2 linked regions of the Drosophila melanogaster genome follow. The protein of the gene in region 2 interacts with the protein of the main gene of each other region in a pairwise test. Each region holds a gene or a part of one and is shown on either strand. Other genes may lie near its edges. The genes, in order: Tpc1 and CG2812.

What was found.
Region 1: the proteins of CG2812 (region 2) and Tpc1 interact in a two-hybrid assay, tested with the Drosophila melanogaster proteins (one large-scale study listed by BioGRID).

Annotation. Positions count from the first base shown.
Region 1 is NT_033777.3:10,879,014-10,884,134, forward strand, and holds Tpc1 (thiamine pyrophosphate carrier protein 1), read right to left. Parts: upstream 3,176-5,121; 5' UTR 2,550-3,175; intron 2,094-2,549; 5' UTR 1,992-2,093; coding exon 993-1,991; 3' UTR 559-992; downstream 1-558. Other genes in the region: CG14695 (uncharacterized protein), read right to left, coding at 1-260; CG14696 (uncharacterized protein), read right to left, coding at 3,521-3,879, 3,943-4,474, 4,534-4,901.
Region 2 is NT_033778.4:23,923,518-23,927,677, forward strand, and holds CG2812 (uncharacterized protein), read left to right. Parts: upstream 1-1,718; 5' UTR 1,719-1,871; coding exon 1,872-1,907; exon of another isoform or gene 1,908-2,064; coding exon 2,065-2,222; exon of another isoform or gene 2,223-2,291; coding exon 2,292-2,694; exon of another isoform or gene 2,695-2,759; coding exon 2,760-2,983; exon of another isoform or gene 2,984-3,043; coding exon 3,044-3,269; 3' UTR 3,270-3,394; downstream 3,395-4,160. Other genes in the region: kcc (kazachoc), read left to right, coding at 485-577, 899-1,032, 1,099-1,238, 1,301-1,392.

The sequences.
Region 1 (5,121 bases), on a different chromosome or scaffold from region 2:
AACTCCCCGATGTTGGAGATGTCACGCAATCCGAACAATATACGACCGGCGTACTCCTGTGCCAACTCATCGAGCAGACTTATCCACTTGTCCAACGTGTCTCCGTGCCGGTTCTTAACAAAGTGAAACGCCACCACCTTTGGCCCATCAAATGTGAACCTCCCACCCGGCGATTTCCTATCCACTTCCGTTAATGGCGGTAGCCACAGAATCCATGGAATGGAGTTATTGTCGATGGTGTACGTCTTCACAAGAGCCATTTTCTCTCCGGACGGGAAATCGCTGAAGTAACTGTATTGTTGTTCCCAAAGATACATTTCCTTTTATACACTGCATGCATCACCGTTTAAATTTCACAACCAAAAAAGCTCACAGCAGCGAGCTTTTCTTAACATTGATTATGTTTGGAGTTTAACAGCTGCAACTCAATAACATGTTCATAAAACTAATTATTCCAATTGGAAGAAACATTTAAGCTTAAAGATTATGAGAAAAATATGAAGAATTAAATCTTAGGAGGCAGGGACAATACTCATTAAAAATAAAAGTTATTAAACTGTTGTGATGTAGTCAAATTTATTAAATTCCCTGAATACTTAGGTGTAATAATATTAATTAAATATCAAATGAACTGCCAGCGCAGTCGTTTCGTTTGCGAATCAAACAAAAGATAAATAAAAATTTGAATGTGTCTGTGAATAGAGGTGCTCTGCCGAATAATGAACTACAACCTAGCACATACAATCTATAACTTAACTGGTGCGCCAACTATTCGTGTGTGTACTAAAGCGCTGACCAAGTCAATTGGTCTATGATAAACAGAACCCCCAGAAAAGATACGCACAACCGAAAACTAATCAACAGAGTTAGCCTAAGTCTTAATATTATTTACGCGCTGCGGTAAATATATATAAAAATAGAAAATACAGTGTAGATTCCGTTTGGGCGCACAATTGCTTTCAGACGCCATTAACCCCGACTCCAAGTCCGACCTAGAAGCGCACCTGCTTGAGCTTATCGTAAATGCTGAAGTACAGGGCCGTCGTCATGCTTGACTTAAGGAGTGTGGGGGCCACGCCCTTGTACAAGCCCCTAACGCCCTCTTGGCGCACGGTCAGCCGCAAACAGTCCCAGACTCCGTGGCACTGCAGTGTCTGTCCGAAGGTCTGGCGATTCGACTCGAAGCCCTGGATTTGCAGTCGCTTTTTGATCAAATCGAAGGGATACACGATCGTCTTGGATAGCATGCCCGAGGAGGCGCCCAATCCCAGCAGCGTCCACGTGGGCAATTGGCTGCGATCGCTCACCTCCAAGAAGGCACACGCCCAGTCGCTGAACAGGCGGTAAGCCATAAAGTTGGTGCCCATCAGCGGCGTTATTTGCAGCAGGGCGGAGGACAGACCGCGGTACATGCCGCGAGGTCCCTCCTGGCGGACAATCGCCGACACAGCCCTTGTTGCATTCCTGTATCCCTTGCTGGTGTCCTGGGCAATCAGACGAGTGCGGATGACGTCCAGCGGCGTGGATATGATCACTGCTGCTCCTCCGGCCGCAGCGCCGCACAGGAAGTTCGATAGATGCTGATGATCCGCCAGATAGCTGGTCTGTTTGGCCATCAGGCTGAGCTGCTCGTACGTCCAGAACTGACAAATGCCGTACATTATGCTCAGCACTTGGGCAGGATTGTGTCCCTTCCAGAAGGCCAACATTCCCTCCTCGCGGTATATGGTTTTCACCGCCTGTCCGATGGATGTGTATTTGGAGGTAAGGGCTCCTGGTCCCTCCTTGGCGGCGTTCTTGCCCAGCGGCTCCACCTGCAGCTGGAAGCGGATCTTTAGCACGTCCAGCGGCTGGCAGGTGGAGCGCGTAATGGCCGCCGAAAGTCCACCGGCCAGCATTTGATGCAGCTGCTCCCGCGTACTGTGCTTGCGTCGCGGAACGGGAGTTGTGGTTGTGGTCGCCTCACTGGTGGAGCCTGTGGTTACCGCCATGTCTGCGTCGGAGCTACCTTTGGTTTTGCTTTTCGTGTGCGTATGTTTGCTCGTGCGGATTTCACTTTTATTGCTGCGACTGCCAACTTTTCAATGGCATTTCTGAAAATAAAGAAACGCAGACAGGTGGAGACGTTATTACAGTCGGAACTATGTAGATGCAACTATTAACTCGGACTTAGCAACTTCTATGAGGCTGGATCTAATAGGTATAGCTTATATATTATCATAAAGAATTTGTTTTGAAGGTTACTTGTAATTTACTTGACTCTTGTGAAATTCAAGGTAGATGCTGTTAAAAAGAAAGCTTAAGATTGTTTCTTGATAAAAATGAAATATGCTAGGTTTTACTGGTATCAAAGATGGAGTTTTCGAAAATCCGACTTAGCAAAGCTTGCCTGTAGCTTTCATTCAAAACGTTTTAGAGGTGCGGCAGGGCGCAAACTTCGACTTGTTTACACACATTCATCAAAGTCGATGGACAAATTGTTGTGTACAAGTGCGTAGACAGGAATTGGGAAATAGTAGGAGTGGAATTCATCTGAGGATGAGACTTACAAGTATCATGCTCCACGGAGCGTGCGTATGTCTCTGCGATTACTTCACTATTATCTCGGTCGGTTATGGCCAATTGCCCGCCAATTCGCAGAGCTCCCAAGTTGACTCCAGGTTCAAACGGCCGTTCATTGATTGACAATAGCTCGGTTGGTATTCGGGTTTATCAGCGATTTCACTTTTTTCCGCTTTTGTTGTTCGATGTCTCGGCGACCGTTGTCCAGTTCCCAAAATTCCGATGCTGCTGCTCAGATAAAGAGACAAAGGCATTGGCAACACGCTCGATGGTGATGATGATGATGTTGCTGAATGTCCAGAGCAGCGCACTACAATCTGAGCTCACCTGGAGCAGATGCGTCCGTTCGCGGGCAGAGTGCAGCAGTGACTGCGGCGCCGACGCTTCTTCATTACAGGCGGCGGCCCGTGGATTGCGTCAAAACTTTCTTTTCGCCAGACTTGTAATAGCGCCGCCGTTGAGATGCCGTTGCAGTTGTGTCAATCCCCTGCTGCCGCTGTCCAAGTTGGCCGCTTCCCACTTCCACAAACTGGTTTTCCGAATTCAAGACGCGCTGCTTCAAACCTCTACGCAACAACAACAAAACAAACTAAATTACGTCGCCAAGTGCACGGAATCAGCTGTTCGAGCCGCTGGCGATGAGCTTTTAGCGAACAGCGATGGCAACTATCGGCTATCGTGGTTGACAACAATAGTAAGAAAATAGCTAGAAGCTAAAATTCAGTTTTAGGGTTTTCTTAATTGGGAACATAAATATTTTTTAATAGTAAGCATAATTCCTGAAACCAGATCACTATGTTTATACTCGAGTTAATAAAAGGCCATTTAGGATTAAAATGATACTAACTATCGATATTAATATAGCTGTCACATGCACAGCGTTGCCACTTATGCGGGCTTTCTTGTATATTTAAAAATGCCTTAAGGTGTAGAATACAAAATGGTTAAGTTATGGTCCCTATTTCCACCCAATGCCGCCAGTGGAAGAGGCGGCTGGAGCACTAGGCGTGGGTTTATAGTCTGGTGGTATACTGAATCCAAGCACCTCAAAATTACCGCCTGGCGGAGAAGCAACAGGTGTGTTGGTCGTATATGGTGGCGATTTTTGTGCGGCTGGCGACACAGGATTTGGTGTGAATTTCACAGGCGTAGCAGGATGCGCCTCCTCTGCCTTGGGATAAAGACTGGGAAAATTAGCTGCCCCGTTTGAGCCATTGGTTCCAGGCTTCCCATCAAATGGATAGACGGGATATCTTGGCTTAAAGGTGTTGGACTCGAATTGCTCATCGCTGACGTCCTCCTGAAAGTTGGGTGAGCCTAAGCCGGAGAAACGTCGATTAATAACACTTTCGATTATGCTTTCTTTAGTGCAAAACCCACCTGGATGAGAGGCACCACTGGGCTGGGACTTCTCCGCCCCGGGCCCCTTGTCATCAGCACTTCCCAGCAGCGGCACTGTGCCAATGGTTATTGGAAAGTCCATGACCAAGTCGCCACCACCGTGCAGCTTGAAGGTCTTGGCGATGAATCGCAATGTGTAGCTAACTCGAATGGGATCCTTTTCGCTTTGCGTGGATGGAGTAGTTGGCGGCACCGTGAGGAACTCATCGAACTTGGCCTTGTTGTGCTTCAGCACCTCACCGCAGTGCTTGTCCGCCACCCGAGATTCGGTTACCTTCAACTGCTCCTTTGCGCCCGATGAGTTGGCTCTATATGAGACGTTCTTGATCAGACGCACCTTCACGTCCATACATTGGACATCCGACTGGTTGTCCAACACCAGATGGAAATGAATCTTCTGGCCGGGGACGTAGGCAGAATAAGAGGTGCTCACGTCCATGATCATCGGCTTGTGGGCACCGAAAATGGAGCCCCACCAGAAGCTCTTCGACTCCAAGCGTTGGAGGGGTTCCTAAGGGAAGTGCGCTTCATAAGGTTATTCAGTTTGGAAGAACAACCAAGACTACATACCTTATACTCGAGCCGCCTATTAAGATCATGTGGCAGGATCACCGTGAAGCACTGCTTAAATGTGTTGTTGTAGCGAACCGCGCGATCGATGGTTAGGGTAACCTCGTGCTTAATCTGACCATGAGCACCATTGAATGAGGTGGGTGCATTGGGCGGAATGGTAGCCCGGAAGGGAAAGACGTACTTGCCGGTGGGCAACTCCAGCTGCGAGCCACCGGCCTGGCCGTAAACCGGCTGGTCAGTGCTGTAGTAGACCTCGGTGGTGGTGTGGGTCACCAGGGACTTGGTCGTCTTCCCATCCTCTCCCACTCGCTCCTCGCTTTCCTGCCAACGCGTCTCGCCGTATCCATTTATGGTTATAAAGATCGCTGCAATTGGATTAATTTGTCTGTACTGCCGGGTATGTAATTCAATTATGCATTTAGTTTAATTGCCATTGACCTTGGACCTTTTGTGTGTTTCGGATGTAGAATTGTATTGGAAAATTGCTCAGCTACAAACAACTGTCTTTGTTAATGAACTAACAATAATTTAATCAGAAGCATAAAAAAAACGAATGCTACCTAATAAAGTTCACCATCAAATTAA
Region 2 (4,160 bases):
TGCTCCTTTCATCTCCATACCTATCATAATCCTTATATGTTGTGTCAATGTGATGTTGCTAATGCTCACCCTTCTATCAATAATAACTCTATCAAATTATTCTCAACACCGAGTACTTCTGAGTAATGTCTTTTTCTACAATAATCTAAAAAATAGTCTTATATGGTTCTTCATTCCCCAGGAATGATTAACTTTAATATTCCTTTAATTGATTGAGTTTTTCAAATTTAATAAAAGTTTAAATATCGAATAACAAGTGTACTTAAGAATTGTCGGTAATCTTTACAATCAAATTCTTTATTTTAATTTAAAGCATTGGGACTTTGGATCCCATCTATAAGTTCAACTACCAATAGGGAAATAAAGTTGAAATAGAGTTTCCTGCTTTGCGGTTTGCATCCCGAGAATAGTTACTCCCTCCTCTGATATTGGCCTCCCACTTTTCCGCAACCTTTTCTCATACTCCTCATGGTGACATTTTCAGGTTCAAACAATTGTAGACCACCATTATGACGCCACCAAAACGGCGTCTAAAGTTCGCTTCGCCGATCCAACTATAGAAGAAACACAGCATCACGTATGTACTGCCTTAAGATTTTTATTTACCATTGTCTCTTATCTCTCGAAATACACATATGACATAAGTAAAGTTAAGTGAGATCGACGACTCATCAAATGTAAGCCTGAAACATTTTAGTTTTGAAGCATAATCAACAGTAGCAATCGAAATCCATTCCCGAGTTATCTTGAGTTTTGTTCTAACTGATATTTTGGCTTCTTAACATGGTTGATTTGAAATGAACTTTTGAGTTTTTAATGTCGACGGCACTTGTCATCCAAAACTCAAGGCTAATGCCACGCTAAAGATCTGATAATGTGACTAATTGTAATTCTGCAGGATTCTCAAAACGACGAGAAACGTAACTCAATTGATTTGGATGGTCCCGAGAACGCGGACACACCCGAAACTACTTCTAACAAGGATGAATCGACAGAGAAAGCCGACGGAGACTTCAAGTCCAGTGTGAAACCGTATGGAACAGCTCTCTTATGGCCCACTTTACGGTGTCCTAATTGTCCTTATATTTCTTTCCACAGGGATGAGTTCAACGTTCGTCGCATGCACACAGCAATAAAACTAAACGAGGTTATTGTAGAAAAGTCACAGGACGCCCAGTTGGTCATAATGAATCTACCTGGACCACCTAGGGAAGTGAGAGCGGAGCGTGAAAGAAATTGTAAGATCTGAAAGGGGAATGTATCTGAGGCACAAACTAACCCGTTTATATCCAATCCGTAGATATGGAATTTCTGGAGGTATTAACAGAGGGCCTTGAAAAAGTGTTAATGGTTCGCGGAGGAGGCCGAGAAGTTATAACAATTTACTCTTAAGAGCATTAATCGCTCAGTTTTATAAGAGTTCGCAACACTAGACAAGTTTAAGAATCAATCAAATTTTTAAAGAAGGTTATTAATTTGTTATATTCAATCATATGTCCAAATATTTTATTTTTACGTAAATAAAATATCAAAAAATTGTAACAATAAGAACCGAAGGCGTTTATCATTTGGTCTACATCTACACACATACCCTGGCCGCGTCGCTTGGAAACGGAGTAAACAGCGTTTGCAAGATACTTTACCTGTCTTTCTACAATCGCGACGTAAAATCAGATGCATCTGGCAGATTGACCAACACTGCTACTCGATGGTTTCTCCCCACTTTTGTTATTTCAACCGTGGCGAGTTGTACGTTCTATTACCTCGGATGGCTTAGAAACTGTGTGGTCGAAACAGAAACGATCCAAGCTCCAGAAAATACTCGAAATAAGTGTGAAAAACTGTATAGATCCTCGGAAAATACACCATTCATGAATCCGGAATCGAGGGACCTGGATTTGAGAAAGGTGCGAGTGCTGGCCTGCCATCGAAGGTGGCTCTGTTTATTTTGAACACGCAAGCAACTTTCGGTATCCAGCTAACAAAAGAATCTAAACATATGCATCTGGGTTGATCCGAGTGACATGTACCCCATTCATTGATTGACCATTTTCTCTGCCACAGGGCGATGTCGAGAGGCCGCACTTCGAGGCGGTTACCACACTGTCCGACTCGCAGGCGATCCGGAGCGTCGACTTTCATCCGAATGGAAAGTTGTACGCGGTGGGCTCCAACTCCAAGACCTTCCGCATCTGCCAGTACCCCGCGCTGTCCAAGCTGAGGTAATTAAATCGCAGTGTGTCGCAACTCGTCTTTGCCTTCAACTCGTTTCCCATCCCAATCCCATGCAGACATGGACACCAGGCAGCGGTGTATCCCCCGTCCGTTCTCTGCAAGCGCACGAAACACCATCGGGGCTCCATATACTGCACCTGCTGGTCACGGGATGGGGAGCTAATTGCCACCGGATCGAACGACAAGACCATCAAGTACATGCGCTTCAACAACGACACCAACCAGCTGGTGGGACACGAGATGGAGCTGAACATGCACGACGGCACGGTGCGGGACATGTGCTTCCTGGACGACTCGTCCACCAAGTCCCGGCTGCTGGCGAGCGGCGGCGCCGGGGACTGCAAGATCTACATCACAGACTGCGGAACCGGCACTCCCTTCCAGGCCTACAGTGGTCATACTGGCCACATCCTGTCCCTCTACAGCTGGAACAACGCGATGTTCGTGTCGGGATCGCAGGTGAGTCGGGGGAAGATCCTTCCCAGCCTGTCCCAGCTATAACCATATGCGATGATCTCTTTCAGGATCAAACGATACGTTTCTGGGATCTGCGAGTGAATGTCTCTGTGAATACGCTGGATAACGATCGAAAGGATGGTGGTCTGGAGAGCTCCGCTGTAACCGCGGTCTGTGTAGATCCCACCGGCAGGCTGCTAGTCTCTGGGCACGCTGACAGCTCCTGTACTCTGTACGACATCCGTGGCAACCGGCCCATTCAGCGCTTCTATCCGCACACCGCTGAAATAAGGTAGTAGAGCTATCCTCTCCCGCTTGGCATTTGGTAAAATTGGCTTTCACTTCCCCAAAGGTGCGTCCGATTCTCCCCATCCGCCTACTACATGCTGACGTGCAGCTACGACAACTCGATCCGGCTGACGGACCTGCAAGGCGACCTGGCCCACGAGCTGTCCTCCGTGGTGGTGGCGGAGCACAAGGACAAGGCCATCACCATCCGATGGCATCCGACCGAGTTCTCCTTCATCTCCACGTCGGCGGACAAGACGGCCACCCTCTGGGCGCTGCCGCCCTCGTAGCTCCGTGGTCCAATGTTCCGGTCCAGTGGCGGCTTTAAATTCGTTGTCGATATTGTACTTCCGCAGAATAGTTCAGACTGATCTAATTTATTGAATAAACCCATTCCAACAGATAAAGGAAAATGAAACAGGGCCGTTCTAATTTATATATTTGGTATATATTTATTTAAATCCGTTCTTACTAACCCACAGTTCCATTAATATTTTACTTTCTAAGGCAAATAAATTGATTTATGTTGGATTTAATGTTGCAGTTGCAAGTAACAGGGCTGGCTTAGCGATTAATACACGAATGATAAAGGCAGGAAAACTCGTCCTCCTTCACATTCACTTTCACATTCGTATCGGCTTTGGTGGTCCAAACCTCTACATCCTGTCGACGACGACATCAGGAACTACAATTTCGGGGCGAATACGGATTATTACGTGGCGATTCTCGATCGGAGGGAGGGATTAACCAACGCAAGAGCAAACCAAAACTCGTGGGGGAAATGGCGATGGAGTGGCACTGGGTACCAGTTAAGCGGCATCTTCCGAAATTCTGGAATTTGGCAGCATCGGTGGGGGATCGTACTTACAGCCTAGTGGTTTGGAGTTTCTTGGGGGAGATGTTTGAGTGTGCTTGATTCTCTACTTGGATTGGAGGCGGGGCGGGAGAAATTGAATTGAGTAGAGTAGAGTACACAGGCCGGGTTCGGATTTCTTGTTTTATTGTTTCGTTTACGTTTAGATATCTTACATGCTGAATTTCAAATCTGTGTTTTCTCGGTTATGCCGGCGAGTGCGATGGCAATGTACTAGACCATAATGTACAGCAATTGTTCTTTTCTACATTCACATCGACATGTCGCACCCGGACATAATATAATAACTGCACGTACTTTTCTAAAG